Mus musculus: one gene and its partner. The protein of the gene in region 2 purifies or fractionates together with the protein of the main gene of each other region. This does not show direct contact. Links are inferred from orthologs where the notes say so. Each region holds a gene or a part of one and is shown on either strand. Other genes may lie near its edges. The genes, in order: Cul4b and Phip.

Evidence for each region.
Region 1: the proteins of Phip (region 2) and Cul4b purify together in Homo sapiens (affinity purification with western blotting; 8 studies listed by BioGRID and IntAct, with this or other methods). This does not show direct contact. The link is inferred for Mus musculus from reciprocal best matches to the Homo sapiens genes PHIP and CUL4B.

Annotation. Positions count from the first base shown.
Region 1 is NC_000086.7:38,528,081-38,544,172, reverse strand, and holds the end of Cul4b (cullin-4B), read left to right. Parts: intron 1-755; coding exon 756-841; intron 842-2,014; coding exon 2,015-2,122; intron 2,123-3,122; coding exon 3,123-3,236; intron 3,237-4,067; coding exon 4,068-4,173; intron 4,174-5,046; coding exon 5,047-5,219; intron 5,220-6,898; coding exon 6,899-7,051; intron 7,052-10,444; coding exon 10,445-10,540; 3' UTR 10,541-12,557; downstream 12,558-16,092.
Region 2 is NC_000075.6:82,967,801-82,983,992, forward strand, and holds the start of Phip (PH-interacting protein), read right to left. Parts: upstream 7,690-16,192; 5' UTR 7,492-7,689; coding exon 7,452-7,491; intron 7,347-7,451; coding exon 7,288-7,346; intron 7,157-7,287; coding exon 7,127-7,156; intron 6,934-7,126; coding exon 6,874-6,933; intron 1-6,873.

The DNA of each region.
Region 1 (16,092 bases), on a different chromosome or scaffold from region 2:
AGACTTTTCATTCTTTTTTTTTTCCAATTTTTTATTAGATATTTTCTTCATTTGCATTTCAAATGCTATCCTGAAAGTCACCCATACCCTCCCCCTGCCCTGCTCTCCTACCCACTCACTCCCACATTTTGGCCCTGGATTTCCCCTGTACTGGGGAAATAAAAGTTTGCACGTCCAATGGGCCTCTCTTTCCACTGAGAGCCGACTAGGCCATCCTCTGCTACATATGCAGCTAGAGACACGAGCTCTGGGAGTACTGGTTAGTTCATATTATTGTTCCACCTATAGGGTTGGAGACCCCTTCAGCTCCTTGGGTACTTTCTCTAGCTCCTCCATTGGGGGCCCTGTGTTCTATCCTATAGATGAATGTATCCACTTCTGTGTTTGCCAGACACTGGCATAGCCTCATTGTGTCAGCAAAATCTTGCTGGCATATGCAATAGTGTCTGCGTTTGGAGGCTGATTATGGGATGGATCCCCGGGTATGGCAGTCTCTAGATGGTCCATCCTTTTGTTTCAGCTCCAAACTTTGTCTCTGTAACTCCTTCCATGGGTGTTTTGTTCCCAATTCTAAGAAGGGGCTAAGTGTCCACACTTTGGTCTCCGTTCTTGAGTTGCATGTGTTTTGCTCTTTTCATTCTTACAAGTGGTTACAGATCATATTTGATGCCCACGTTAAGTTTTGCGTTTTAGTTTCTGATGTAAAGTTTTTGTTGTATTACCTTGAAATATAAACATGTAAACATCTTTAACAGAATGTGGAGCCGCTTTTACCAGCAAGCTTGAAGGAATGTTCAAAGACATGGAGCTTTCTAAAGATATCATGATTCAGTTTAAACAGGTAAAGGCTGGTTAAACTCTCTTACCTAATCCCTTAAACTTCAGGATACTTCAGTTATGTCCTTGCGGCAGTTTGTATTGAAGAAGAAGATAAATAGAAGCCCATATATATATATATAAACAAATAATTCATGGCAATTCAAACAGTACAGTATAGGAAAGAGATCATCAATGAATTTTAAGTATATTTAGCTTACTTCAGGATTTAGTCATAATTAACATCCAGAATAAGACAGAAACATAAGTAAAAATGTATTACACTAAAGTTAGTATTAGAAGAATTATACTTAGATAGTAAGAGCGGGGCTTTTCTAATCAGTTGGAGGCTTTACATGTTCAAAGCTTGTAATGGGGATAGAGGTGAGGTGATCAAGGACAGGGGTGGTATATTCTGTCTCTCTTGACATTTGGGATGAGAATTTGGATCTATAGTTTTGAAGACCTAAATAGGAGGTTGTTTTAAAGTATTGTAAAAATATAAGCAACCAGATGTAATTTGTGTAACTAGTCTCAGCTGCTTGGAATGCTGAAATAGTATGTGGGCAATATAAGTGAGACCTTGTCTCAAACAGTAGTGGCAGTAATGACTAGGCAATAGTGATGGCAAATTAGATTTCACTCCTCAAGGGTTCAGTAATGACTTCTTGACTACTACATTGAAGGTGGTCAATGGAACCGAAAGACTCAAAGTTCAGAATTAGTAGGATCATGGATCTTACAGCAGCCACAGGATGGCATTTATTTGCCTTGCCCTTTCCCACTTCAAATAGGGAATGAATCATTTGAAAAACCAGAGACTTGGGTTGGCTGGTGGGGTGAGGAATGCAAGTTACTACAAGGTGTTTCAGTCCATGTAAGGTTTCTAAACATGGGTTTAAAGGTGGCATTGAGGGAAAAACGGTGAAGAGATGCTACAACAGCCCAGTCGTGTGTGAGAGGTTGAGTTGTTAATCAACCTTGGATGGTTTTGTGGGATTTTTGTATGCTGCTCTATCAAAATGGCCACCTGGGTACAGCATTTTGTGTAGCCTTCATTTCAAGTCTTAATAATCCTTTATTTGCAGGATGGTCAGTATTTACATATATTTTTAGAAAAAGGAAATTCTTAATTTAGTCATTATTATGGTATGACATATATACTTTCATAATCTTGGTGTATGTATTAATCTTATAGTATATGCAGAACCAGAATGTACCTGGCAATATTGAATTAACTGTTAATATCCTGACAATGGGTTACTGGCCAACATATGTGCCTATGGAAGTCCATTTGCCGCCAGAGGTAAGATAAATTGCTTCAGAACTAAGCTATAGATATAGAAATCACATTTTTTCCTGCTTTTCATTTGAAAATATGTGACTTTTAAAGGCTTATGTCAACAAATATAACAACAAAATATGAGTGTTAATATTTTATTCTTTTACTTCATTTTTCAACTAGATAACTAAATTGAGTCTATTTTCCCTAATTATTCTGTTTCTTAGCTTATGACCTCTTAGTCTTTCTAGCTGTGAAAAAATCTTGCTCATATTCCACCTGAAGGCAGGATTGGTAGACGTTATTGATGGATGTATGAGTATCCCTTCATGCCCTGGAAACTGTCCTACTCAGGACCAAAACCTAGAATGTTGGAATAAAGAAAGATACTAAGTCTATGGAAAGAACTATGGGTGCCCAGAGAGTAGATTTCCCTCAATAAGGGAAGAATATGGTGAAGAGGAAGAGAAAGGGCAAAGCTTCAACTTTAGAAAAGGCTCACATTTAGCAGATGGTAAAAAGAAGAACCTGTGAAAGAAATGTGGGCAGAAGCAGCAGTGAGAGAAGGGAGTCGGTATAGTATAGAAGCCCGAGTCACCAGAGTGAAGGAATGATTAAATACCAGGGTAGAGAAGATCAGAGTGTAATGCTCACCAAGCAGTTACATGGGGAGTTAGATTTTAACCTGAACTTAAAGGGGTTGATATCTACTGGAGGTAATCAAGAAAACTGTCAAAAGGTATTCCAGATGGGGGTTAAAGAGTTGAGGTGGAGGTCATTGAGGTGGCCCAGGGTGAAGGCACTTGCCAGCAAGCTTGACCTCGTAGTTCAACCCCCTGAACCCACATAGTGGAAAGAGGGTACCTGACTCCTGAAAGTTGTCCTCTGAGCTTCATTAGCACATGATGGCATGCACACCCCACTTCATTCATTCACTAAGTAGTTTTTTTAGAAAAATAGTGCTAAAGGTAACACTTATATAACATTTCATATGCAGCTTAAACACTTACTTTATTTGCTTTAGATGGTAAAGCTTCAGGAAATTTTCAAGACATTTTACTTAGGCAAGCACAGTGGCAGGAAACTCCAGTGGCAGTCAACCTTGGGACACTGTGTGCTAAAAGCTGAATTTAAAGAGGTAAGTGGATTTTTCCAAATCTTTACTTCTATCTTCATCTTTACTATGGCTTATCCCTTGGTTTGAAGGTTCAAGTTGCTGTTTTATACGTGTGTCCTTGACACCGGTGTAGCCACAGTGATAGGTAATTACAATTTTGTGTATATTTTAAGATGGTTACCTTTTCAACAGTTGAGTTAGCCCTTGTCTAAAATGAAAAGCTCCCCTCTGTCTTTCTCTTTCCCTGTGGATGCAGAGTTCATACTGTGTTATTGGAAATCATGTGGCTAGAAGCTAGAGAACGGAATGGGAGATACAGGCAAACAATATCCATTGGGAAAAATCTGCATCTGTTCATGAATGATCTGAATCAAGTCAAAAATATTTGAAAGTGGGGCGTAGTGACACACAGGACTGGAATCCTACCACTTGGGAGATAGAGGCAGGAAGGAGTTCAAGGACATATTTGACTACAAAGGAAGTCTAGCTTGGGCTGTGGGAAACCCTGCTCAAAAAGTGCATTCAGAATAGTAATTTCTTGCTGCTTATGGTGAATGTCTATAATGATACATAGGACTGACTTATGTTCATTACTTTTTTCTGTTTTAATAGGCCAAATAATCCTTCATCCTGTTTTCTGTAGACTCACACCTAAATCTCGCACTACACATCCTGCTGCCATCTAATGCAGCACTTTGGATAATGTTAATCGTCTAGTCCTAGTCACCTGGGCTTAACTCACTAATTAAACACTGTCTCCCTAGAGGAGGTTATTGCTTCCTAATTTATTTTTCATGTGTTTTAAAAAACAGGAAAAAAAAATACAGTAAAACTCTGTTGTTTCTCCAACAGGGCAAAAAAGAACTTCAGGTCTCTCTTTTTCAAACCATGGTGCTGCTAATGTTTAATGAAGGAGAAGAATTCAGTTTAGAAGAGATCAAGCATGCTACTGGGATAGGTTTGTATTGTGTTGTTTGTCTAGTAGCAAGCAGTTGTAGTTCTCTAGTCTGTGCAGTCACTGTGATCAGAGCTCTGAACATAAAAGGACATGATCCTCTCCTCTGTACTTAAAAAAAAAAGATTTTTTTTTGTTGTTTTTTGTTTTTTTGTATATAGCCTGTGTGTGTATATGTATACCACACATGTGCAGGGATCTGTGGAGTCTAGAACGGGGCATTGTATCTCCTGGAACTTGAGTTAGGTGTTTGCGAGTCACCATGTTAGGTGCTGGGAACTGACCCTTATTCCTCTAAAAGACCAGACACTACTCTTGAATGGTGAGCTAGCTCTCCAGCCCCCTCCTCTGTATTGGCAATGATAGAACTAGCCACCTGGACTGTGAGAAGATTCTAGTCTAGAAGCTATGAAGATAATTCTGACATAAACTCCTAAAAGAGACTTCTGGTAGAATGTTTCCAGCAGCAATGAAATTACTAGAGATACAGCACAGTGAAGGAGAATGAAGACTTATAAGGTGATGCTAGGCTTTTCATAGGATTAGGTTAGTGTTACCATCATTAGCAATGAAGCAGAAGGTTAATGGAGAATATCAACAAACTCAAGTGATAGTACAACAGCCAAGTTGAGTGTCCTTTTAGTGATTGACTTGAGAGAAAGGAAATGTTTTGGTAGTTGTCTGCATGGATGACAATACATGCTTTTAGAACATGAGTAGGAAAAAAATGTTACTGGATAGCACAAAGAGCAGGTGTTGGTAACGGTGGGGAAAACAAAGCAGTATACTAGAGAATGTTGGAATAAGAGTGACATTGAATGTGGGGCTCATGCTAATAAGCTACAATCAAATAATTAACCATCATTTCTTCTTCAGAGGATGGAGAATTAAGAAGAACACTGCAGTCACTAGCCTGTGGCAAAGCTAGAGTTCTGGCTAAAAATCCTAAGGGCAAAGATATTGAAGATGGTGACAAATTTATTTGTAATGACGATTTCAAACACAAACTATTCAGGATAAAGATCAATCAAATCCAGATGAAAGAAACGGTAAACCTTTTGCTTTCTCCTAGTCCTACAATATTGGGTTAAATGTGTTTATAGTAGAAATTTACAGATTAAAAACTTGTATTATGCTTGAGTGTTTTAGCTGCATGTACGTTTGTGCACCGCATCAGGGCTGGGGCCCACATGTAAGAAGGGGACTTGAACAGCCACATGCATGGATGCTTGGAATCTAACTCATGTCCTCTTTATTGCTAAGCCATTGTTCCAGCTTCAAAATTTACAATTTATTTTCTCAATGCTACCATTTCATGTAACATTTTCTGTGCCTATATCCTGTACCACCATCACTTGCTGGTGTCCTTTGTTATTTCTCCCAAATTGTTGTCTTGCTTTAACATGTCTTATCTCTTGCACGAGCATACACGCACACATAATGCATATATAATAAAACCTAGATTTTACTTATGAGAGAAGTTGAGCTATTTTGTGTTTTCCCTTTTCCTTCAGTACTCCTTTCTACTTTTAATGTCGTGTGTGTGTGTGTGTGTATTTAAATATGGATTCCACGTGTCAAAATGTGGTATTTGGCTTATTTTGCTTAACAAGATCTCCATTATCATTCATTATTCTACAGATTACAGAATTTTATTCCTTACAGCTGAATAAATTTCTGTAGTAAGCATTCATCTATTGATGGATATCTAGAATGGTTGTATATCTTTATTCTTTTGTTAAATAAGAAGTCTCATTCCTGTAATCTCAGTGATAGAAAATGGAAGTCAAATTAAAGTAGATCCTTGGAGGCTCATGGACCAGGTATCCTAGGCTATAGGACAAAGTTCCAAGCTCATAAGAGAGACCAAACAGAAAATGAAAGAAAGGTACCTGAGCTCCAATGCCCAAGGTTGTCCTCTCATGTCCCCAACCACACTCATATAATAGGCATACCCTCCCCACACACACATCAAAAAAAATCAACAGAATGCTAAAAAGTTATATAATCTTGAACATACCTAAATCTTAATCTCTCTGATCTTTTCCTTAAAGTGACTTCATGGGGGAGGAGAGATGGCTTACTTAGCAAGAGTTAGCCTGTTCCAGGGAAACTAGGTTCCTAGTACCCACATGGCAGCTCACAACTAATTGTAATTTCAGTTCTAGAAGATCTTTTGCACTCATACAGACATATATGCAAGCAAAAGACCGGTGCACATGAAATAGGAATAAACATTTTTAAAAAGAATTTATGGAAGTAAATTTTTGGATCAGTGGATATAAACATTTTACGTTTTAGGGAAGGCCAGTAGACAACCTCCAGTGTTATTCCTTTGCGCTATCTACCTTGTTTCTTTACATGGTCTCTTACTTGCCTAGAACTCACTAATTAGGCTGGCAGGATGTCCATCGGGTATTCTAGGGATCTTGTTTTTACATGAGTTCACAAAAATCTAAATTTAAGAGATAGATCTTCATGTTTGCAGGGAAAGTACTTGACCAACTGACTCTACTTCCCAGTGCTCAAAGGTGGTATTTTTCTCTTCTGTATTGCATTACTTTATTGGTCCAGAGCAGTAGTGACAACAGAAAGGAACTATGTTTGTTAAGTTTTTTTTTTCCTCTCATTTAGATAAGTCAAGCTCTTTAGAACAGTATCATTGTTATGTTCCTAATATACAGTTTGTTCCTAATTAAGTTTGACTTTATTTGAAAACTTGTTTTAGGTTGAAGAACAAGCAAGCACTACAGAAAGAGTATTTCAAGACAGACAGTACCAAATTGATGCTGCGATCGTTCGAATTATGAAGATGAGAAAAACACTTAGCCACAATCTTCTTGTTTCAGAAGTCTACAATCAGCTAAAATTTCCAGTTAAAGTAGGTATTTCTGTGTCTCCACACTGAATGTATTATAGGTGAAAGGAAATACATTTAATTTTTAGACACTAATCTTGCAAATAAGATGAAAGACTTAAAGCCATTTGGAACAACATGTATTCATTTTCTATATTTGTACATGTGATTCACAAAAGAACTTTGTTTAGCAAAATTGAGAACTAGTTTACAAAAGCCACTCCCTGTACTTGAAAGTTTAGTGAGTAAATGTGACTTTGAAATTTTTATTTTTAAAGATTTATTTATCTAAGTACATTGTAGCTGTCCTCAGAGACCCCAGAAGAGGGCATCGGATTCCCATTACAGATGGTTGTGAGCCACCATGTGGTTGCTGGGATTTGAACTCAGAACCTCTAGAAGAGCAGTCAGTGCTCTTAACTACTCAGCCATCTCTCCAGCCCGACTTTGAAATTTTTGAGTTAGTTATTATATATCTTTTGAATCTTCTTTTCTGGAGATACCTTGGCATTTGACAGATTTGATTATTAGACTGAGTTATATCTTAAACTTGGTTACCTGTATAAATATTTACTAAAATCTGTTACAGAGACTTCTGGCTATATCTTAATGTTAAAGCACGTTTTGTTTGTTTTGAAAATGTCTAGCAGTGGTTCTAGTAAACCTGAATTGGTCAATATGGGCATGGCCCAGTACAAATGTTCAGTAGCAAAGGTGCTTAGACAATGTGGTGGTGTACTAGACTATTGTTCAAATTGTAAAACATTTTAAAGTGTCTGTGATACACATTTGATAGAGGTTGCCTAGACTCCTGGCTGTTAGGATTCCTGGCAGCTTTGGACTTTGATAAGTCACTTAATTTTGCTGAGCTTGTTCAGAATTGATAGATATACATACCTCCTAGTATTATTACTTTCTATTATTAATCATTTTATTCGTTTTTTTATTTTAAATGATATCCCCCTTTCGAGTTTCCCCTTCATAGACCCACCATTGCATCCCTTATAGTATTATTTTGAGGCTTATTGAGATAGGAAGTATAAAACACTTGATCATGAGTTTAGTATATATTGAGGTTTTACTTGTAGTAGCTGTTACTTCCACTATTACAAGGTAGGCTGCTTCTTCAAACTTGAAACTGCTTCCTCATTACCACACCTGCATACATGCTCACCTAATCATTTTACCTACAGCAAGATTGCTTATTAATGCTAGAACATCAGAAATAACTAGAACTTTGATCATACTGAAACCAACATGATACTTAAACCTGGGGCTATTAGATGGAAGTTTACTTCCTTTTTTCCGGTTTGGTTTGGTTTGGTTTTGAGATAGGGTCTTACTGTGTTCTACGGCTGGCTTCAAAGTTAGTCCTTCATTTTTATCAATTCCATATCTGTGAATTCAACAAACCAAAGGTTGAAAAACACTCTTTAAAAATGCAGTAGCTGAGCTGGACGTGGTGGTGCACGCCTTTAATCCCAGCACTTCCCAGCACTCAGGAGGCAGAGGCAGGCAGGCAGATTTCTGAGTTCAAGGCCAGCTTGCTCTACAAAGTGAGTTCCAGGACATCCAGAGCTACACAGAGAAACCCTGTCTTTTTTTTTTTTAAGATTTATTTATTATTTTATGTAAGTACACTGTAGCTGTCTTCAGACACACCAGAAGAGGGAGTCAGATCTTGTTAAGGATGGTTGTGAGCCACCATGTGGTTGCTGGGATTTGAACTCCGGACCTTCGGAAGAGCAGTCAGGTGCTCTTACCCACTGAGCCATCTCGCCAGCCCGAGAAACCCTGTCTTGAAAAACCAAAAAAATAAGAAAAGAAAAGAAAAGAAAAGAAAAGAAAAGAAAAAGAATGCAGTAGCTGACTGGGAAGCAGTGGAAGGCAGATCTCTTGTGAATTGTAGGTCAACCTGGTCTACATGGTGAGTTCCAGGACAGCCAGAACTACAAAGAGAGACCCTCTCTCAAACATGCCCATGGGCTTGCTCTTCCCCCCCCACACACACACACTCCAAAGAGATGCATTCACTGTCTGTAGGGACATGTACTCTTAGCTACCAGCTGAGGCAGCAATATTACTTAAGCTTCTTATCTTAACAAAATCTTGCATCTGTATTGAATATTCAATTTCTTTTCCTTTTTTTTTTTTTTTTTTTTTTTTAGTTTTTCAAGACAGTGTTTCTCTGTATAGCCCCCGCTGTCCTGGAACTCACTTTGTAGACCAGGCTGTCCTCAAACTCAGAAATCCGCCTGCCTCTGCCTCTGCCTCCCAAGTGCTGGGACTAAAGGCGTGTGCCACCATGCCTGGCTTCTTTTCCTTTTTATCTCAGGTATTGTAAGTGATGTAGAGATACTTATTTATGTTAGGGTCATTCATTCAAGAGATAAGTGTAATTACCAATGCAAGACTATTTATTAAAAGATAGTATTTCTAATTGTGTGTCTCTGTGAGGCATTTCCATGTGTGGACAGTTCTATTCAGTTCGACCTTGAGCTGGAGGTACAGGCACTTGTGAACCCTGGCATTGGTGCCAGAGCTGGACTTCAAGAGTAGTACACGCTAAGAAGCCCTGAGACTTTGTTGGTGGTGTTTGTGACAAGGTCTATCTAATACGTCCCAGGCTGGCCTTCAGTTCTCTTTGTATCTGAGTCTGAATATAGACATGTTTGACCATGCCCAGTTCTAAATGAATTCATGTCATAGTGAAATTTTAACTACAAGATTCAGAGGTCCAAATCACTTAACTAAATAAATTAAAATTCATAGTAAACCAGAAACATAAAGAGGTGAATTAATATGATACGTTCCCAAATTTCCTGTAATTGTGTGAATGTGTGGTATTGGGGAGTAGAACCTAGGCCCCTTTCATATGCTAGGCAAGTACTGTACCACCTGGTAAAAGCCTTAACTGCCCCAGCCATTTTGTTTGACTTTTTTGCCAACTTTCATGAACTCACTATTGCCATTCCTCAAGCTACCCAAGTAGCAAGGATTATGTAGGCTTATGCCAGTATGTCCAGTATTTTATATAGGTCATATAGTAATTTCTTTTACACTTTTTAATTCATGTGTTAATTGTTTATTTACTTAATTTCAGGTTTGTTTGTGACAGAGTCTTATTGTGTACCCCAAGCAGGTGTTCCTCTGAATCCTCTTGGCTCTGGCCTCTTACTTGCTGGGATTTTAGAAGTATGCTACAATGCTCCAGCTACATTTAATTTAAGTTTATTTAATTTAGAGACAGGGCTTGTCCTGGAGCTCACTATGTAGACCAGACTGGCCTCAAACTCTGAGATCTGCCTGCCTCTGTGCAGTCACTTCTGGCCTTTGTTCTCTTTTAACGGGATGTTGGTGGATGGACTTAAGCTGGTGCTTCTGAGTTTTGCATTGAAAGTGTGCTTTCCCTTACAGCCTGCTGATCTTAAGAAGAGAATAGAATCCCTCATTGACCGGGACTACATGGAAAGAGATAAAGAAAATCCAAATCAGTACAACTATATTGCATAGAATGTTGGCCTTGGAACTTGTCATAATGCTGTAGCCATTGGATAAACTAATTTGTTGAATCTCATGTTATTTGACTTCTTTTATACTTCTGATGACCAAATGAAGCAGTGTAATGGGAATAGTTGTGTGGACTTTTCTCAGTGGTTAACATACCCATTTTAAAGAGTAATACTTAACTTTTAAGAAGAATGTTGTTGAATTCTATGCATGTTATTTAGTATGATGTGCAGAAAACTCTTTAAGAAAGTACCTGGGTCTTCATGATTCCTTTTGGAACTGGGGAAGAGATCCCTATGGCCATTAAAAGGGGGGAGGGTGATTCTTATACATCATTAATAAAGCAAAAGGTTTATTTGCCTAAAAGTCATTTAAAGATACTTAAACTGCATGCAAATTTTATTTACTGTACAGAGTTCTGGATGTATTTATCAAATAGAAAAACCACCCTTGACTTGGTTGTTTACCCATTTTGTGGTTTCCCTTGAAAAGAAAAGTAAGTTTTCATTGTTGTTGGCATTCTGTTACACTGAAGGGGAAATAATCTTATTTGGAAACAAGTTTTTCAAGTAGGGTGACAGTTCCTTCCATCGTACCTTATATATTCGCATCCTAAAGGTTTCCCATTAGGACTCTGGGATGTGTACATAAGACTTAGCCCCACATTCACTGTGCTGATTAACAGGAACTTATTAAAATAGAAAATTTGCTGATCGTCTTGTACTACAAGAACATAGCAAGAGGGGAAAACCCAGGTCCTTTTATTAAAACTGAATACAGTATGAAAATCACAGGAGACCAAAATCAACAAATAAGTTTTATAAGTTGCAGGAGTAAAAATGTACCAGCTGCTTTTCATTATGTTTCAGTGGTTAAATGTTTGGGTCGTGCTGCCGTCTTTAAGTTGGGTGGATCGTCAATTGTCAGAGGTTTCCTAGGATTTGCATTCCAGTTTTTTCTACTAAATGATTTTTTTTTTTACTGTCATGCGCCTCCTGATTTGGAGAAACTCAACATATGATTCTCCCTTGTCTTCCTTGCACACTCCCTATTGAAAACTTCAAGTTCTGTAGTCCTTTTTTTTTTAATTGCTTGAATTTAAGAGTTCTTTATAGACATTGGACACTTGCTGTTCAGGAAGTGTCTCCAAATTGGTCTCACACAGAAAGTAAGGAAAGTATTGTTTTTCAATTTCAAACTGTGAGTAAAAGACTTTTCTTCCTCACCAGAGGACTCTGCTTTGCTTCCTGGTTTCTCTTTCCATGGAGGAAATGGATGATGGCAAAGAAGCAGACTGTTTTTGTGTTTTCTTTTACATTAGAACTTCTTCAGTGCTTTCTCCACTAGCACATATCTTTGTCTTTATGGAGCAATTAGGCATACTTTCAGCTCCGAAGACTTGGGGGCTCTTATGTCTGCTATTGTTTTCTTGAATTCTCAAAGACCTGTGGCTAGCTATCTGTATTTTTTAAGTTGCCTGTTTCTCTCTAATGCATCAACTTGCACACTGTTTGACTATGTACAGTATTTAGAGTTAACTTCCCGGTTCTTTCTGAGCAGCTATTTCGTATATTTTTTCCAGCTCCTCCCTGATTTCCTTACAGGAGCTCTTCTGACAAGGAATGTGGCTGTTATGTTTACTGGATCATCAACATCAGTGTTGTAATTCATCCCTGTGTTGGTCTCTGGGATATGGAGACTATTACACCACTCACTAGTTACTCTTAAAAGAATTTGTAGGTAGGTTTGTTCCTACTAGGACGCTCTTGATACCACCTTCATTATCTTGAAAGTGGGTGCCTGTCCTGAAGTTCTTAATTCTTTAAAAACTTGACGGTGTTTCAGCTGAAAAGCTAGCCAGACTACTAAGGGAAACTGTTTATGAAACTGACAAGTAATGGCAAACTCCATTGGATTATTATGAGTTTCAGTTGTTCTGTATCGGTTGAATTTTTGTGCTCTTCCCTGTGTATGTGTGGTGGTTCTATTTTTCTCCAATAAAACTTTTATTTTAAAAAAATGTTTCTGGGGAAGATATTTAAACTCGAAATATTGTGAAAAAATTGTAAATTAGAATGAATACATAAAATCTTCCTAATGACTTCCTTAATTCACATTTGACAATTCATACTTGATTATTTTTATACTTCTCTTTGTTATTTTACTGGTAGTTTTGAGATACTGTGGAGGAGGTTATGGTAAAAAGACAGTAAATTTTCCAGTATTCTCAAAGTAGACAATTATTTCCACTTTAGAAAAATCAAGGGCACGTGTAAATATGTTTCCTTCAAACTTTCAAAGTCAGCAATTTCCTGCCAGTATAGAAGTACTTTAGAGTGAAGTTGGAAGAAAAAGAAGACATGCTTCTTGTGGTGCTTGTTGTTCTGTTCTGAACCAAAAATCCAGTCACACATGTTCAATGGTTTCTAATTCAGTTCCTGAGTCTGCTGAATGGTGACTCTGCCGTAACCTTGACATCTTTGCTACCGTGTGTGTCTGTCTGTGTGTTTGTACAGGGGAGGAAACCAGTTTATTCTATGTAGCCATCAGTATCTAAGATTTATAAGTTTATGTTCTGATATCCATAAATCTTTTATGTCTTTGCAACTGAGTCTTGCTGTGTAGCCCAAGCAGTCCATAAATAATGTGATCTTCCTGACTTGGGCTCTAAGTGCTGTCTACTTACACTGTTTGACTGTACACAGTATTTAGAGTTAACTTCCCAGTTCTTTCTGAGCAGCTATTTCATATAATTTTTCCAGATTATAGCTGTGTACCACCATGTCTTGTCTCACACATTTTTTTGTTTTTTTTTTATTCATTTATTTAGTGTAAGTACACTGTAGCTGTCTTCAGACACACCAGAAGAGAGTATCCGATCTCATTACAGATGGTTGTGAGCCACTACCATATGGTTGCTGGGAATTGAACTCAGGACCTTTGGAAGAGCAGTCAGTGCTCTTAACCACTGAGCCATCTCTCCAGCCTCTAAGCACATCTTTCATTGTATGATTTTTGTCTGTTTTAATGACCACCCTGTATAATTTTACACATGACAAAAAGATACATACTTCATTTTTTCATTCACATAAAATTGCTAAAATAAATAGCTTATAAAGAAGAAAGACCCAAGGATACTGGGACTTTATATAGCTGCACTTTTTTTTTGATATTTTCTTTATTTACATTTCAAATGTTTTCCCCTTGCTGGGTCCCCCCTCCAGAACCCCTATCCATAAGTGCACTTTAAAAGTGTCCTTTTCTAATGCTTCACTAAAGATTTTTTTTTTACATTTTATTTTATGAGTACACTGCAGCTGTCTTCAGACAAACTGCAAAAGGGCATTGGATCCCATTACAGATGCCTGTGAGCTACCATGTGGTTGCTAGGGATTGAACTCAGGACCTCTGGGAGAGCAGTTTTAACCACTGAGCTAGCTCTCCAGCCTGGATTTTTTTTTTTTTTTTGGGTCAGTTGCTTACAAAGATTTTGCTTTAGGTCAAGCAAGAATTGGTGGCTCATGCCACTAATCCCAGTCCTTGGAAGGCAGAGGAAGGTGGATGGACTTGTCAGTTCCAGGCCAGCCAGGGCTGCATAATGAGGCCCTATCGGAGAAACAGCAATAAAGCCCAAAAGCCCTGTTTCACATTGGCATAGTGATCTGGTTCAAATCATACACTTGTTCAATTATTTTTTCTTCTGCTATTCAAGTGTTCTTCTGAACGGATACATTATATACTTTTATAGTTAATATTTAAGAGTATTGTCTAGCATAGTAAAAGACCCAATTCATTTTATAAAACCTTATTTGCTATAGAATATAAGAATGTATACTATTGGACACATTAGAACTTTGCAATTTTTACAAGCTACAAAATCATCTTTTCACTCTCTAATTCCTATAACATCTTTCCATTTTTAATTTTCTATTGTGGTAATACACATAAGAATGTACCGTTCGAAGCATGTAATATCCAGTTGAGACATTCAGTGTGTTCACAGTGCTGTGCAGTTATTTGTAGTTTTAGAACATTTCCAGCACCTATTATTGGGCAGTTATTTCCGGTCCTGCTCTACCTAGCTGGAGACCACTGACCTGGATTGGCCTAGCCTAGATATTGCACATCACTGCAATCATGACTCATGTTGGATTTCTTTCTTTAGCCTGGTGTTTTTCAAGGTTCATTCATGTACATGTAAGGTCCTCACTTTCTTTTATAACTGAATTTTATATGTGTGTTTACCAAAAGTAGTTGTCAAGTGTATGGGTTTTCACTTTTTTGGTTTCCGAATCTTTTGAGGATACGCAGAGTGAGAGTGCCGAGTTGCATGGTGATTCTGTACTACTACTACCAAAGAGTCTTCAGACTACATTGCTGCCAGTAGCACCTAAGAGCTAGGGGTTTTCTGCGTCCTCATTAATGTGTGCTGTTTTTACTGGTTGGTTATGGCTATTCTAATGGGTTTGAAGTAGATTTATGACAGTTTGCGATTTTATTTCCTTAACTATTTTGCGTATCATCTTGTTTGCCATCTTGCTTTTCTCCTTGACGTCTCCACACTGCCCATGTTTACATAGGACTCCTTGTCTTTTGTTATTGAATTATGAGAACTCTTCATATGCAGATGCTACTGTCTTATCAAACAGAATAGTCTGCTGATTTACCCAGTTAAAAGTTCTTTTCCATGTAACCTTTGCACAAAAGTATTTCATCTTTTTTATATTTATTTGTGCATGCACATGTGCCATTGCACACATGTGGAGGTCAGAAGACAACTTGTTCTCTCCTTTCACCTTGTCCATCCCAGGGATTGAACTCGTGTAGTCAGGCTTGGCAAGTGCCTTTAACCTGCTAAGCCATCTCACCAGTGCAGAAGTATTTAAGGAACTATAGTTAACTTTTTTTCCCCTTATGTTGCTTGTACTTTGGGTATTTTGAAGAAATTCTTGGCAAATCCTCATTCAATCGGGCTTTAGATTTACTTAACTCTTTCTAAGAGCTTAATCTAGTTTTGTTGAGTTAAATTTTCTGTGTATTCAAGGCAAGTTCCTAGTCATAGTAAGTTGTCCCGCCACTTTACTTTGTTAAGATAGTTTCCTCTCTTAAATGCCATTGTCATTTGTAGCCCCGAGACAAGAGTTTCTCTGCATAGCCCTGGTGGTCATAGAACTCCCTCTGTAAGGAATGGATACAGAAAATGTGGTACATCTACACAATGGAGTACTACTCAGCTATTAAAAAGAATGAATTTATGAAATTCCTAGCCAAATGGATGGACCTGGAGGGCATCATCCTGAGTGAGGTAACACATTCACAAAGAAACTCACACAATATGTATTCACTGATAAGTGGATATTAGCCCCAAACCTAGGATACCCAAGATATAAGATATAATTTGCTAAACACATGAAACTCAAGGAGAATGAAGACTGAAGTGTGGACACTATGCCCCTCCTTAGATTTGGGAACAAAACACCCATGGAAGGAGTTACAGAGACGGAGTTTGGAGCTGAGATGAAAGGATGGACCATGTAGAGACTGCCATAGCCAGG
Region 2 (16,192 bases):
TTCCTAAATTTGACAGTCTTTATCACTTTTAGATATAATTACAAAAGTAACTTAAAAATTCCTACTGGCTGGGCACTCAGGGGGTGAGGAGAGGCAGAGGCAGAGGCAGGTGGATTTCTGAGTTCAAGACCACTCTGGTCTACAGAGTGAGTTCCAGGACAGCCAGGATTACACAGAGAAACCCTGTCTCAGGGGAAAAAAAATCCTACTGAAATGATACTTTTTTATGCCCAATGTGCTCATATCTTCCTGAAGTCAGTAAAAATAAACAGAAATTGTCTGCTAATCGAGGTCACATGAGTTAGTATTAAGCATATTGTTCTGAGAATCCTGAAGTGCACATAACTATTCCTAAGAATAAATAAACAGAAATTGTCTGCTAATCGAGGTCACATGAGTTAGTATTAAGCATATTGTTCTGAGAATCCTGAACTGCACATAACTGTTCCTAAGAATGAACTCCCATTAGACTAGGCACTGCTCAAAACAAACTGCCCATATGCTGAAGTGCCACAAAACACATAGATAATAACAAAACTTAGGACAGAGAAAAATGCCTGCAGATAAACAATTTCCAGATTTAATCAACAAGGACAAAAACTTGTAGCCTATCTTTACAAAGAACCTCTAAATTGGTAAAAAACGACAATATTTAACCTAAAACTAACCTAAGAATTAATACAATTTTTGAATTATTAAATTGTCTAGAAGACATTCTCTTTAGTCTAAGAACAAAGGACTACGGCTTTAAAGGCCACAGACTTCTGACTACAAGGAGTCAACGTTAATTCTCAATCTCTCTCTATCAGAAAAAGAAAAGGCTTCATTTGTCTCTAATCCGCTCAGGGTAGGACTTCCCTCCTCTGCTTGTTTGTTTTTCCTTCTCTTGGAACAGGGAATTGAACCCAGGACCTCCTTCACACTATGTAAATGCCCAGCCACAGGAACTATAGAACTCCAGGCCTAGTTCAAGGTAACGCAACTACCCAAATATTTAAAGTTTGCTGTTTCACAGCAAGTCAGCCAAATTCACAGCAAAATACTTCTATAGACCTACTTAAGAAATTATTTATTGTTTTACAGTCACTGACCTTTTTTCTATGTCTTAGGGGTTTTTTTTTCACCTAAAAAGTACATTAGCAGTACTTTCTAAAGTTTCAAAGTAGCTTTTTAAAATAAAGTATTAGGGGCTGGTGAGATGGCTCAGCGGTTAAGATCACCGACTGCTCTTCCAGAGGTCTTAAGTTCAGGTCCCAGCAACCACATGATGGCTCACAACCATCAGTAACAAAACCTGATGCTCTCTTCTGGAGTGTGTGAAGACAGCTACAGTGTACTTACATATAATTAATCAATCAATCAATAAATAAATAAATATTAAAATAAAGTATTAGCTAGGCTGAGAAAGCTCTAAGTACATGTATCTCAGATAGAAATGCTTTCCTTATGGAAAACTACACTCCCACACAGTTCTACCTTTACTACTGCTTCTAAGGTAGCCAAGAGCAAACCCAACCCTACACCAACTACTATTTCCAGACTTTTAAAGTCAATTTGTCATCTATAAACCATCGCCATGCAGTTAGCAAAGGTACAATTCCACTACCCCTTTATGTCCACATCACCTTGCAATATAAGGATTGAGAATCTCATGTGGACTTATTTCATTTAAAATCTCCGTAGTTTGGGGGCATAAACTTAGTAAAGAACTGAGTTTGGTCCTCAAAACTCATGTTAAAAAATACCAGGCATCCCCAATAACTCCAGCACTAGAAGGACAAGCAGGTGGGTGGATCCCTGGTGCTTGTAACCTACTGTGAGAGTTGTAGGCCAGGGAAATTATCTGGGGAAAAAAAGTGGATGGTACCTGAAGAACACCCCAAGTTTGTTCTGACCACCACAATCACACATTCATACCCACATAGTAAGTACACATATAAATTTTATAAGTGCACCTAATTTGTAAAAAATGGATGATACTAAGCACCAAAAGAATAACTGTATACATTAAAAAGATGAAGTTTCTGTCCTTTAGCACATACTAATTTCCTTTATACCTACTAACACATTTTATCCCTCATTATAATTGTAGGTCATTTTAAAAGCTCAATTTTATAAACTACCAAGTAAAGCTTGGTATTTAATTGAAACTCTTAAATTACAATTTCAAAAATTAGCTAAAATTCATCACGCACATGCATGAAATTTTCAAAGAATTTAAAAATGAAAGAAAAAAAACCAGACATGCACAAAAACAAAACAAACAAGCAAACAAACAACAGTATAATGCTACCATTACCTAACTACCTTCTCAACTGCTCTCTCTCCCAAACTGGAAAAGACTTATATTCAAGTCTTCAAAGTACCCTCATACAGACCGGAAATTCCTAGTTTAAAGAAGACATCTATTACCTTACCACTTTCCTTAAGCTTATCTCTAAATTTTATCCAATAACTTTCACTTTAATCAGCATACTCATAACAAATATATGTATACCTACCTAGGGCATATACTTAATTAAATTCAATTAATAGCTCCTCTATTCATCTCTGAATTTGAAGTTACCAGTAACTTACTTATTTACTTACAAAGTGAAAAACAATTATTCAACAATACAAAGGTATTCTACAATGTGGCTACTCTCTCAAAAATCTTCATCTTTACAAGAAGTATTATAAAAACTCAGTTGTAAATGTGACATCTGGGCAAAGGGACCCTCATTGAAGAACTTTCCTCAGTCAGAGAAGCCTGAGGCTAAATATGTGAGGTGCCTTAATTGCAAATTGATGAGGGGCTAACTCACAGTGGGTGGTGGGCAGCCTAAGCAGTATAAGAAAAGTAGCTGAGCTGGGGGAGTAAATCAACAAACTGAGGTCTTAGTGGCCTCCCTCCAAAGACCTCTGACTCAGTTCCTGCCTCCAGGTGACTTCAGTTCCTCTGAATTCCCACAGAGATGAATTGTGACTTGGGAGTTCTAGGTGGAAATAAACCCTTTCCCCCCAAGTTGTTTTCTGTGAACAGAAACCAAAGTAGGCCAAATACCAAAGAATGGTACTATAAAAAGCATTTATTCGACTTCCAAACTGGCATGATTTCTATAGATTTAACTTTCCATTTTGGAAAGTTAAACACCAAAATGAATGCTAAGCACTTAAAAAACAAAGCACTGCTATTTCTAACTCAAAATCATATTTACAGATCATTTTCCATCCATGTTTTTACATACAGTTAGAAATAACCAAGACAAGAGTAATAAATTATAGAATTTGTTCCTATCACCTGCAAGCTAATTGTCACCTGGCTTCAAGACAACAGTCCACACCTCCTGACTTCTAATTCTTTCACTCTGACAAAAAGATTTCTAACGACATGCAATCAGTTTAAGAAAATGAAATATGGTTATTTTTAATAAAGCAAAATTATATATCAACAAATCAGCAAATATTAACTCAACTGAAAAGAATAACTTACAAATAAAATGTAATCAACACATCCCAAGTAAAAATGCTTCGACGACTTGCTTTAATAAAACAGCTAAGGAGACAACTGGGAAGGGGAACTAAAAAACTAACAATTCAGATACACAAGTAAGAAATGAGCCAAGTGGCTAATGTCTATAATCCCAACTAGGGAAGATGAGACAGGAAGACAGAGCACTAAAAGTCAGTATAGGCTGCAGCAGGTTCCAGACCACCCTAGGATGAGTGAAATCCCATTTTAAAAAACTGAAAATACTGTCCAAAAACCTTGTTAATCTGCAACAATTTGGTTGGAGTGAATACGTAGCTAGCTCACTGTGAAGTGCTTGCTCATCATCAAAGCATGCACAGAGCTGCTGGGTTCACATCCCACACTGCATAAAACATTCTGTAATCAGGACTCTGGGGGTGGAACCAAGAACACCAGAAGAACCAAGGTCAGTCTCAGCTACACACAGTTCAAGGCCAGGCTACCCAAAAATAAAATAAATAAATAAAATTTAAAAACCAAGAAACTTTTTTGGCCTAATACCTGGCTTCATCTAAAAGAGATCTGGCGAATATTTGAAAAATGTCCTTTACTTTAAAAAAAAAAAAAAAAAAAAACTAGGTTAACAAATAAAGTCTGAATAAACTTAAATCGTGCCAAAAACAATTATCCCATCAAATTCCATTCACTTTTACAAGAATGTTTTAAGTATTCCCACAGTTAATAATTCATCACATTCTTAATACCAAACACAAAATTTTCAGCTTGTTAAGAATTCCCTTTTTCAATCATATATTAAATAAATGTGTCAATTTTACTTTTCTAACTTACAAAACTTTCAAAACTGCACTAAACACTCCATTTTCCTCTAGGCCAAAACTGAATGACATTGGAATTCTATTTAGAAGCTATCAATGTTGATATTATTTTTAAACTCATTAAGTACAAACATTTCTCTTTCCTAAAGATTTTCTAGAAAATTCCAATTTCACATGTATCTTTCTGCTCATATTACTATCCAGTTTATCAGTTAATACTCCAAACCATTTTCAAGTAGAAGTTGAAACTACATTTTTAGTCACCAAATAATTTTAAATTAATTCTTGTTAATTCAATTTGATGTACAAAAAGAAAAACTTTTAAGTCATGAAACTGAATTAAGACACAGAATACTTAAGCAACTATGCATGTATTTACCAAAACAAATTTTTCATATGTACCAATATGCTCAAAAACATGACAATCAAAATGTTTTAAAGCTACCTAAAATCAAAATTAAAGTGACATAAAGTCAACCCATACTCTCCCACACCTCAGCATACAGCTTACTGGGTGTGAAAGCATTTCAAAGGGTGCCCTGTGTCCAGTGCAGTTCTATGCTGAGTAAATAAGAGGGCAGGAACCAAACACAAGTTCCAGTGAGAATTTTACCTGTCTTTAGAGTAAAGCCATCGTTAACTGCTGAGGTAAAAACCTCTTCACAAGAAAAATCACCTTCAAGCAAAACAGGTGGCTTTTGATAAATAACATACAGACAACCACAATTTATGAAGTTTGAAAAACTGACTACAAATACTTCATTTTATTACTATTTGGGCCTATGAACCACCTCTAAAATTAATTTCAGTAAACAAAGTGATATTCCTACACTGATTAACCATTCCCAGCATTTATTTGGTCAAAAACACTATTAGTTGCTTAGTTCAAAAAAACATAGCATTACTTAAAGATTCTTAAGTTAACAAGACTTTCATTTTCAATGACTTGGGATTTGTGGGATATTTAAAGAAAGGAAAAGATGAGTGTGGTTTAAAAAAAAAAGCTGTATCATTGTAACAGTATTTTTAGAGTTGTTTTCTTCTTAAACAGCCAGAAAGGCATGGAAATACACTGAAGATTTGTGTAAAAAGCATAAATGTAAAAATTACCAATACTGCAAATAGTAAACCCGGGAGTTTAGTTCAAATTTCAATCACTTTGGACCAAGTAACTGACTGAACTTCCCTAATTCGATATTGAAAATTAACTTGGAAGCATGGAAACGAAAACACCCTCCACTAGGTTTCTACGGCCTTAACAGTCACACGGTAACCAGTGGTTTATATTAAATCATAAAATGCACACACGAAAGCTATGCGACTCATATTCAAAACCAAGCAAAAGCTATCACAATCATGCCATGCCCTCAGAGACACTCATTCTGAACTACTAAAACTGCCTAACCCTACAGCCCTGAAAGCACTAGTAATCACAACTACCTCGAAGAGTCAGAAACTGATCTCAAACATTGTTGTCAGTGCACTGCCTAAATTTCAACTGCTCAATGGGCCCTGGTGAGACTGACTATGCAGCACACTCACACAAACAACTGTATCAACTTCTCTTAGGCAAAGAAGAGGCTGTGAAACCTGCAGCTCCTTTACTCAAGTAAACTAAGAGAACCTTACCATTCACCATACTCGTGTCAGCTCCACGTATGGAAAGCAACTGTTTGTAAATTATTGCCTTTGAAAACTCACCAACTATAAAAACATTGTTTTTCAATCAATTAAAGAAAAACATCTCAATATAAACAAAAACTTAAAAGCCAAGGTCCACCCCACGGCAACTATGCAGATAAAACCCACAATTCTTCAATGACCTCTATAAATGACTTTTAATAAAAGAAGGTAATATCCCCCAAGAATCTGCAAAATTGGAAAACGCCTATTAAAACTTCCAGGTTTATACTTCGGCAGATCTGTTTGTATAATGCACAATGTGCCGCTGGGTGACTACCATATCTATCTGAACGCCTCCAACCAAACAAAGATTAAAAAAAAATAAAATTAAAAATCTGGGTCTGAATCTACAGAAAACAAAAGACAGAGGAGAAGGGGGAAAAAAAATTTTAAAAAATCTTGCCAAGGTTCCTCCGCGGCTCAAAGGCCTTCTTGTGAAATGCTAATGCCACTTCGGAGCAGTTAGTCACCAGCTATTGTGTGGAGCTGGAGAAAGCTGAGCCGGCCGCGCGTGCAGAGCAAGCAAGGAGCTGGCGAGCGCGCTCTCCAGGCTTGCGCCGCTCCCGCTGCCGCCGCCGCCGCGCGCGCGCCCCCGCGCGGATACGCGCGCCGGCCCCTCCTCCTCTGGCCTTGCACTGCACAACACTCATGACGTATCTTTATTTCTAGCACATTAACAAAATATCACAAATAAATTGTCCGCGGACCCCGCGGCCCCGGGGCGCCCGCACCCCCGGCTGCCGCCCCCCGCAGCCCCCGCTCCGGCCTCCCAACCCTCCCCGTGGCCTTTGCAGCTTTTCCCGTTCTGGGGCCAAGTTTTTGTCTCTGTAAAAAATTGCGGGAAATTCAATTTTTATTCGACTCGGGGAAAAGTTTCTTTGCAGTGCGCTAGGAATGTCTCACCAGATTCTGGTAGGTCCTGGGGTGCTCCTTCCCGGTCCAGTCGGTGCGCCGGGGCAGCAGCTGCGGGGACAGGACGCCCGGTGAGCGCGGCCCCCGGCCCGGACCGACGCCGCTCCCCTCCCCAGTCCGCCCCGCGCCCCGCCGGGGACCCCCCGCGCCCCGCGTCCCGCGCCCCGCCGGACGCCCGAGCTTGCGCAGCGGCCCGGGGGAGGCCGTGCGGCGGCGGGACGGCGCCGGGCCGCCGCGCCCTTACCTCCTTCTCGGCCACTTCGCGGATCAGCACCTGCAACAACAAAGCGGGGACGCTGAGCCCCCGCGCCCCGGGCCGCGGCCCCGCCGCCGCCGCCGCCCTCCCCCACGCCCGCGGGCGGCCACCGCGAGCGCCCGCCCGTCCCCGCGCCGCGCGCCGCCTACCTGAGCCGCCTGCTGACAGGGTCCATCTTCCAGGAACCGGGCGATGAGGAAGTAGAGCTCTGCGCGGGAGAGAAGGACGGGGAGACACGGGCTGAGCGGCCGCGGGGGGCGGGGGCCCGCGGGCGAGTCCGCCCGGCGCGGCGGCCCCGCAGCGCCCGACTTACCCGATCGCAGCTCCGAGAGGCCTTTCCTCTCACGAGACATGTTTGCGGGTCACTTCGGGGCCGCCGGCGGGACACCCCGCCGCCGAGGGGACGCGGGGACGGTGCCGCCGCCTGCCCTGTAGCTGTCAGTGTGTGCTCACGAGCCGAGCCTCGGCTCCACCATTCAAGCAACGGCGGCGGAGGCGGAGGAGGAGGAGGAAACAACAACTCTCAGGCAGCGGCCCCGGCTGCGGCCGCCTCCGCCGGGATCCCTCCGCCGCAGAAAGGAGTCCGCGCCTTCGCGGCCCCGCACTCGCCGCCCCCGCCCCCCGCGGGAAAAGGAGTGCCTCGGCCTAGGCCCGCGCCCGCGCGGTCGTCGCTCCGCGCGCCCTGGGCCGCCACTTATTTATTTATTTCCAGCGCGAGGAGATGTCGGAGCCGAAGCGGCGGGCTGCCTGGCGGGCGCTTTCTCTAAAGAGGCCGCGGGCGGGAGGGAGAAAGGGAGGGAGGGGAGGAGGGGGCCGGCACGGCTGCGCGGAGGGATCTGACGCACACGGAGCCGCAGCACAGGCTCTATTCAGCGGCGCTGGCTGGGTTGAGATGGAAGTTAGTTTCTATGTAGCAGAAATAGGAAACAAATGAAGCAAAACTGCTCAAAGAGGGGAAATGCCGGGAGGACTGGGCTCACTCTCACGCACGCACAGAGACTCTCAGCGAGCACTCTCAAGCTGGGCCAAGTCGGGATCGCGCTGCCCTGCCCGACTTGAACGCTAGTGTTTGCTTTCAGTCTTGCCATGTGCATGTGTATAAATGCTGCGGATTGGCATCCGTGTAAGTCTTGTCCTGCGATATTTCTGCAGCCTGGGCAAGTGTTGTGTAATTTATTGGAGTGCCGTGGGTTGCAATAGAGGTTCGGGCTTTTTTTTTTTTTTTTTTTTTTTTGAGCCACTTGCGTTCTGCAAACCCGTTATTCCCCGAAGCCACCTCTGCATATTTCTTTTATTACTACCATCGCCTGAAGCGTTCGTTTAAAAAAAAAAAATGTTTTTGTTTTGATAAACGGGCAAGAGGAACTCCAGATTTGTACTTCAGCTCATCTTTTCCCCCACTTATTACAAAAAGGCTAGTGATGGCTAATTAGGGATTTGGAAGTGAAGAACCTTAAAGCTTTTTAAAGTGTTTACAAGAAGGGCTAATATAAACCTGAAGGAAAGGAAAGGGCGCTAGCTAATACTTATCTCTAACTGATATGGAGGTAAATTACTGACACGGTCGATAACCTACCGAAGGTTATTGAAAGAGTATATTACAGTTTAGCAAAGGTGATTAGTGATTAAATAATTTAAATTATCTGTGTATCTTGCAGTTGACTTCGTCATGCTAATTAATGGCTTCTAATTTACGGTGTAAACCATTCCTGTTTACAGTTAATCACGGGAAGACTTCTTAAAAACTGGCGAAAAGCAGAAACAAAAATCTTTTCGTAAATCCTAATGTAATTACTGGTTTTATATGATACATCGTTCATCTGTGTTTTGCTGATGAGGATAGGGGCCTTGTTATTTTTAAAACGAATATGGGTGAAATTAATGGAAACAATGGAAAAGGCCGTTTGTTAAAAAACAAGGACACCGAGTGATATTTATCTCCAGATGAATTAAGCACTTTCCAAAAAGACTTTGAGAGTTCAATTTTTTTAAAGGTTGGCCTTTTAAAGAGAATTAGGCTAGTCATTCTTTTGTTAATCCTTAACAAAAGATCCTCTTTGAATTTCTTAGATAATAAGCTGCATTTTATGGGTCTGATTTTAAAAGGTAATTTGTGAGGTAAGGACCAAGAAGCTGGATTGTGGTTTTCCGGGATTGTTTCCTCAAGCCCTGCACCCTCCTAGCTCCCTGCCTTCCTAGTGGGAAATGCTGCAGCCGCCTTAGGCTGTACTGCAAGAGCACTAAAACACCAGACATTCTCACACATGTGAGCACGAGGAAACCGTCTCAACCCCCTTTGGAATCATGGATGTAAAATTGCCTTTTGTAACTCAATAAAAATAAGAGGTTACCCCGATTGGTCCTAATGCTACAGTATTATAAGATCTGCCCCTAAACTGGTGTGGCTAGCCTCAGAATCTGGACATGTTTGCATTTTTAAAACGTGTAATCCTAGTCTTACAATGTTAGGTAAAGTAGCCTGCTTCTGAATAATTAGGCATAAAACATATTTTATATGCCTTTGCAATTGTATTTATTTATGTGACTAATGTTGTTTTATCTTAACTTTTTAAAATGCATTATGTCCTTCAAATAATTTAGGTACTTCATTGAGAAGGTCTTTAAATGAACAGATTTTGAGAACTAAAAATTCTACTTGAGGCTTGCTGGTTCTGCACGCAACACTAATCTAATTCTTCCTCTTAGATGTTTTGCCCTTGAGAGGTAAAAATCAAATTTTGGCAAGTAATGTAAACTGTATCTGGATAAAGTTTTGTAGGTGTTAGGAGACATGGGAGGCTAGCATGATACCATGTATGTTTTCCATGCAGAAGCCATGGGAGCTTTTTCTTGAGACTGAAAACAAAAATAAAAAACTGTTTAAGGAAAGCCTGCTTCCTTCTAAACATGTCATTACTAACATTTTGGCTAACTTTGACAATGTTTTTAGTTTCTTTTGAAAACAGTTGTAAGCTTGCCTTTAAATTAATTCCTATGGTTGTTTTTCGTAAAATATAAAGAGTGCTTGACAAAAATTAGGATTTCTCTAATTCTTTCAGTCCAAAAAATGTGTTGTTTTTAGCCCTAGTTGTTAAATTGCATCTTGCTAAGTCCATTCTTTTGACTTTTATCTTTTGAAAAAAACAAAACCAAATCACTTCGCTTTCTTTAACATCAAGCATAGAATATTTCGGTTAACTGAGATTGCTAAGTCGTTTATTGTGCATGTGTATGCAAAATGTCTATGCTTATCAAATACAAGTTCTTGTTTAGAAATCCTGTATTTTGTTCCCAAAGCAGAGGTGTGCATAGTTCTTCCCACAGTTGATTTGTTTCTCTATAAAGACAGTTTAAATTCAATCCATACCCCTTTCTAGTCCTTTATGGTTTTTATGTACTCCAAAAAATACCATTAAAAAGTACTTCTCAGTGCATTTTAATTAAGAAGCTAAAAAAAACAGAAAACAAACAAGTAAACAAACAAACAAAATCAAAGAAGAAAAGAACTCTTGAAAGCAAAAACTAATTTTTATCTGATAGTCTCTTTAGAAGGATTATAAACTTTTTCCAAGTTTCTGTGAAATTCCATACTGGATCAACTCTGCCATTTACGTCTTCTCTAGAATAAGATGGACACTAATTATAAACTTTAAAGTTCTACTACTTTTATAAAATTTGATTTCTCTCCTATAGTATGGTGTCTGACACAAAGCTAAAACTGGATTCCGGGCTGACCTTATCTGTAAGTCATGGTTCTGGACTGGTATTATGTTACCCTTATGAGGTTTAGGTGAGCAATTACATTGTTTTGTTTTGTTTTGTTTTGATACTTTGTAAGGCTGAGCAGTGAACCCAGGTTTTCTTGCTCCTGCTGTGCCAGCCAACTACAATTCAGCTATATATTCTCTGCCCATTTGCTACTTTCAGAGCAAAAAGTTTCACTCAGTGAAATAAAGCAGAAACCTATTTATTTGCCCTGAGGAACAAAATGTAGCATGCTACCATAAGGGCCTTTGGGGGGCATATTCTGCTCATCCACACTGCTGTGGCATGCTCTCCACTTCTGCGTCTTCTGCCATGCCAATCTGTTTCTTCTCACCCCCTATTGTCTCTTCAACCCGTGACTATCAAATCTGAATCTCATGAGCAGCTATAGTGTTTTGATACCTTCAGAAAGAACAGGGTCAATGTACTTTAGTAAACCACTCCATCATTTGATAACATGTTTGTTGTTGGTTTGTTTGGGTTGGGGGGGGTGTTTTGGTTTTGCTATTTAATTTTATTTAATGATTCCCCCTTACGAGATCACTGAAAACTTTTCCCATAAATTGTAGTACATTTTCTTATAATCTGTAACAAATATTAGCTAAATTCCAATAATCGTATGTTCCCTTTCTTATTTTAATGTTAGTAATTTATTCAAGCTTTTTTTTCCTCCTAATTAAGTAACCCCTGTAGTTTACAATTGTTGCATGTTAGTTTGTAAAAGAAATACATACTTTCATGGATAAATCCATATACATTGTTTAAAACCACTTTATGACTTTAACAGTACAGTTAGATATTACAGAAGAAAAACAGTTTTAGAACATATTCCTCCCAGATCCAGAGCAGCACAGTAGATGACTTAGAAAAAGGCTGTTCCAGAGGAGAGAACACATACAGAAGTCTGCAGGCATGTATTATCCTAGCAAGGTGTTTGATGGACAGGGAGGGGGCTGGACTCAGAGAGAACACTGGAAAAGGAAGGTGGATGGAGAGGAGGATGCCCAGGCTCCGGAAAGTTGCTGCTGGTGGTATTTTAAATAAAATATAGTATTATTGGTGTGATTTTTTTTAAAGACAGGATTTCAGGACCAGAGTTAAGAAATCTCTTGTATTTATAAATACTTAATTCCTAAACTTCAAGACCCCCAAGTAATGAAAATCAACTTTGGGGAGAAGGGAGGGAGGCTTATCCAACAAATATTGAGAAATGTCTTCATAAGAAAAATACTAGGAACCAAAGACACCAAAGTTGACCTGTTGGTGAGGAAGGAAAACCGTTCAAAGGAATAAGACCTAAGCTTTCAGATTGCCAGTAGAAGTCAAGTCTAACTCAAAATTGAGAATTAATTTTAGTTTTTAGTGAAGTTTAAAGAGATGACATTAGATTTAACCCATTCGGTTAATCAAAAATATTCTCCCCAATTTCAGAATTAGAAAATAGGAGGCCTATTATAGAGTATTTGCAGGTTGTTTTTGTTTTCATACGTGTGCCTATTTTGCAAGGCCTCCTCCCCTGACCCTTGTTGCTTTCTCCTACTGAAACGTTACTGGCCAGCCAGCACTAGGCTGTCCATCATACACCTACAGAGTAATACCAACATTATCCTATTGAGATATGTGTGCTGAAGTTTATGAAAAGCTTATAATTAGATTCTGGGATTACAAATCCTATTACCTTCATAATTCTCATGCTTACATTCAGGTGTGGAAAACACGTACCGAACAAGAGTGATTTCATAGACAAACAGCCTTTCTGCAGAACGTTGTAGTAAGAACACCCTTGCTCTTTCCTTTCCACAGCGACTGCTGGTCGTATTGCTGGGCATCCTTGAGGGACTATCTTAAGAAATATTAAGAAAGTAGTATCACGTGAGAAGGAAGAACTTCCTTGTCTTTTTCTACTGCCCTCATCCTGACTCAGCACATCTCCTTAACTTTTAAAAATCATAAAAAAAAAAAAAATCAAAGTGAAAATTCCTGGTTCTTGAAAGCTCTCCTCTTTCTTCCCTGGCTGGTGCATGTCCCCACAGTGCGCTTTTTATCTAATCCTTCAGTCTTGGGTTTCTGAGTAAGTTCTTGCCTCCGATTTCCACATCCCCTACACTTTCAGTCATTTTCAAAGTATCTAATTTTTCCTCCTCTTTCATCACTGAGACTTTGGTTTCTAGTGGTAAATCCCATATGAGAAAGAAGATCCGATTTCCATTTGATGTGATCAGTTTAGATCTACCTGAAGAACTCTAAAAATTACCTAACGATGAATCTGGCCCCTGACTTTTAAAATTGAGGCATCACACATTAGTCTTCCATATCTCTAACTTTCAACTGCTCTGGCTGTTAAAGGAAAGGCTGGGAACAATTTTTGCAAAAAAAGAAAAAAAAAATCAGGAAAGCAAGGCCTTTTCCTCTCTCCTTCCATCCCTCCTCTTTTTCCTCTTTTTTTTTTTTCTTTCCTTTCTCTATTTTGTCATAGTCATAAACAAGTGCAATCTAAGCCACAGTGTTTTCTTTTATGCAAGTGTGCATGGATTGTCATTAGAATTTTTTTTTTCCTTTTCCAACATGCTTGGCCAAGTCAAGACAAACCAGGCATCTTCAGATGGTAGATTTCGCTTAGAGGAATTACTGATTATGTTTGCTTCTCTCTCATTCTCAGATTGCGATGCTTCTAGAACTTATGTAGGTTTGAATTTCTTTATGACTAGTGTTGTCTAACTTCACCCCTTTACAAAACTTAAATTAGGAAATGCATTTTTTTATTATTAGGTTCAGATTCTGTACTACCTTAATTTTTTTTTTCTTTGTTCGTAATTTGTGATGCAAACTTGGGAAATCAGCTGTGGCTCAGTCATGAAGATATTTTCCTCCAATAACTATTCCAGGCACTTTTCTGACGATAATCACTACAGTTTGTGTGTTCCTTTGGCATCCAATTCTTTTCCTTTTCTGTTGCTTGTCCCATGTTACTAATAAACTATTTCAATAGGACTTTACTTGTTAAAGGGTTTCTTAAAAACACAGAAAGGAGTATCTATTACAAGTTCTGGTCCTGTGTACTCCTTCTGTGAAGTTCTTTTTCCGGACAAAAGTGAGTTGGCATGGAAACCCCAAGCCCATCTCTAGCATCTGGCCCTTGCTCCTATCTGCCTTGCTTCATATAAGAGTATTCTCATTTCAAATCTTACTGTCTGTGTGTCAGCTGAGGAACCATCATTTAAATGCTAGTTTTCAGTGTGGGCCCTCGTTATGCGTTTCATCCCAACACCCAAGGTGCACAGATCAGCACGGGTGGTCCTGAGACTGAGAGTGAACCTGAGGTGGCAGCATCACCCTCTAAGGGCTATACCTGGAAAGCAAAGGTTTCGTCGATGGTCTGGCCCATCTCCATAAGTGATCAATTATTAAAATTGGACTTTATTTAGCAGCCATAACTCAATTTATTGCATGGCCTGCAAGAGATATGAATCAATGGCTATCTATACATCTCCATTATAGCTTTAGAGAATTCAGAGACCTGAAGTAGAAACAACGGGTATACTTATTACATGCGGACTCTGTTTTTGCGTCTTAACCTAATTTCGTATAGTACAAAAAAATAACTTTTCACAAATCCATGAAAAAGTATTTTAAACAAAATCTGTGAAATAATCACCCTAAGTACAACTCAGACCCCTGGACGGCTTTACAAGACTTTTGGTAGTGAGGGTAAGGTTCCCATATTTGAAAATTAACAACTAATTTCTAGTGAGTTAGCCTTAGTCATGCAAACTGGATGTGGAGAGACTTGAAGCTAAAAGATTCTATAGCCACGATGAAATTGAAGCTTATAAACTGTACTCAACCTCTCTTCTGCACTGACGGGTGGAAGAGACGATTCAGTGAGTAAGGACACACGCCTTCCCAGCCTACAGCTGAGTCTCATCCCCAGGACCTACATGGTGGAGAGAGAGAACTGACACCTGCAAGTTGTTCACTGTTTCCCCTCCCCCAATACACATACACACAAGCACATATTAAATATAAATGTAATAATTTTTAAGTTGCATTGACCACAGAAATGTTTATTATGTGCAGGATTTCCCTTACCTCTAGTTTTCAAATTTGCAAACCTACACTTTCACTTTTTAAAAGATCAAATCTTGGGCTGAGGAATACAGATCAGTAGAAGAACAATTGTCTAGTATGAGTAAGGCCCTGGCTTCAGTGCCTAATCCTGGTGAAAAACAGGTTTAATTCTTTCTTAAACCAGGATATGCATTCTTCTAAAAATTGAGAGGTCTTATAAAATCTCATTTTAAAAATACTTACTTTACTTCATTGTGAAAAACTTTCCAATATTCAAAAATAAACAAAATAATTTTATTTATTTTACTGCCCCCCAAATCTCTATGTTCAACCGTATCCCATGGACTATGATCTCTTTACTACCCTCCAGATAAACATTTAGTTTTACAATGATGACATCCAACGATGACATGTTAACTTTTTATAAATATCATTTGTATCTCTTTTTAGAGTCTTCAGCTCCAAACTAGGCCAGTCCTATGCAGTTTTCAAGATGCATAGCACAAAATTTGCCTGTTTGGGAAACCTTATTTTGCAAAGAAAGAACAAGTAAAGAGCTGCTAGCAAACAAAGGATGAGCTGTCCATACCCTGGGCTTCCAGATAAACTTCCTAAGTCTCTATAGTCACAAAACATTCATATATATATATATATATATATATATTAAAAAAATTTGGGTTTTGTTTTTGTTTTTGTCTTTGTAAAATTTTGTCTACTAACTGTATGTTCATTTTCTTTCTCTCACTGTGACAGGCACCATGGCCAAAATCAGGAGAGGGAAGTATTTATTTGGCTTGCACTTGCAAGTCATGGCGCCTCATTGAGAGAAGTCATAGCAGGAACTCAGGAAGGAACTTGAGGCAGAAACCATAAAGAACACTGCCTGCTGTCTTGCTCACTCGGTCCTCCTTAGCTAGAATCCTTATTCAGTTCAGGACTCCCTGGCTGTGGAATGTTGCTGCCCATAATGGGCTGATTGATCCCTCTTACATCAGCGAGCAATCAAGAAAGTCTCCATGAGCATTCCCTCGTGACAATCTGATCTGAGCAGTTTTCAGTAAAGACTTCCTTCTCAGGTGACTCTGGCTGTTTCAAATTCAACAGTGAAAGCTAACACTATACTAAGAGGGTTTTTTGGGTTTTGGGTTTTGGTTTTTTTTATCTTTCTAAGGACAATCCCTGAAATTTGGGTTTTTGCATCTTCATTGTGTACACAATTCA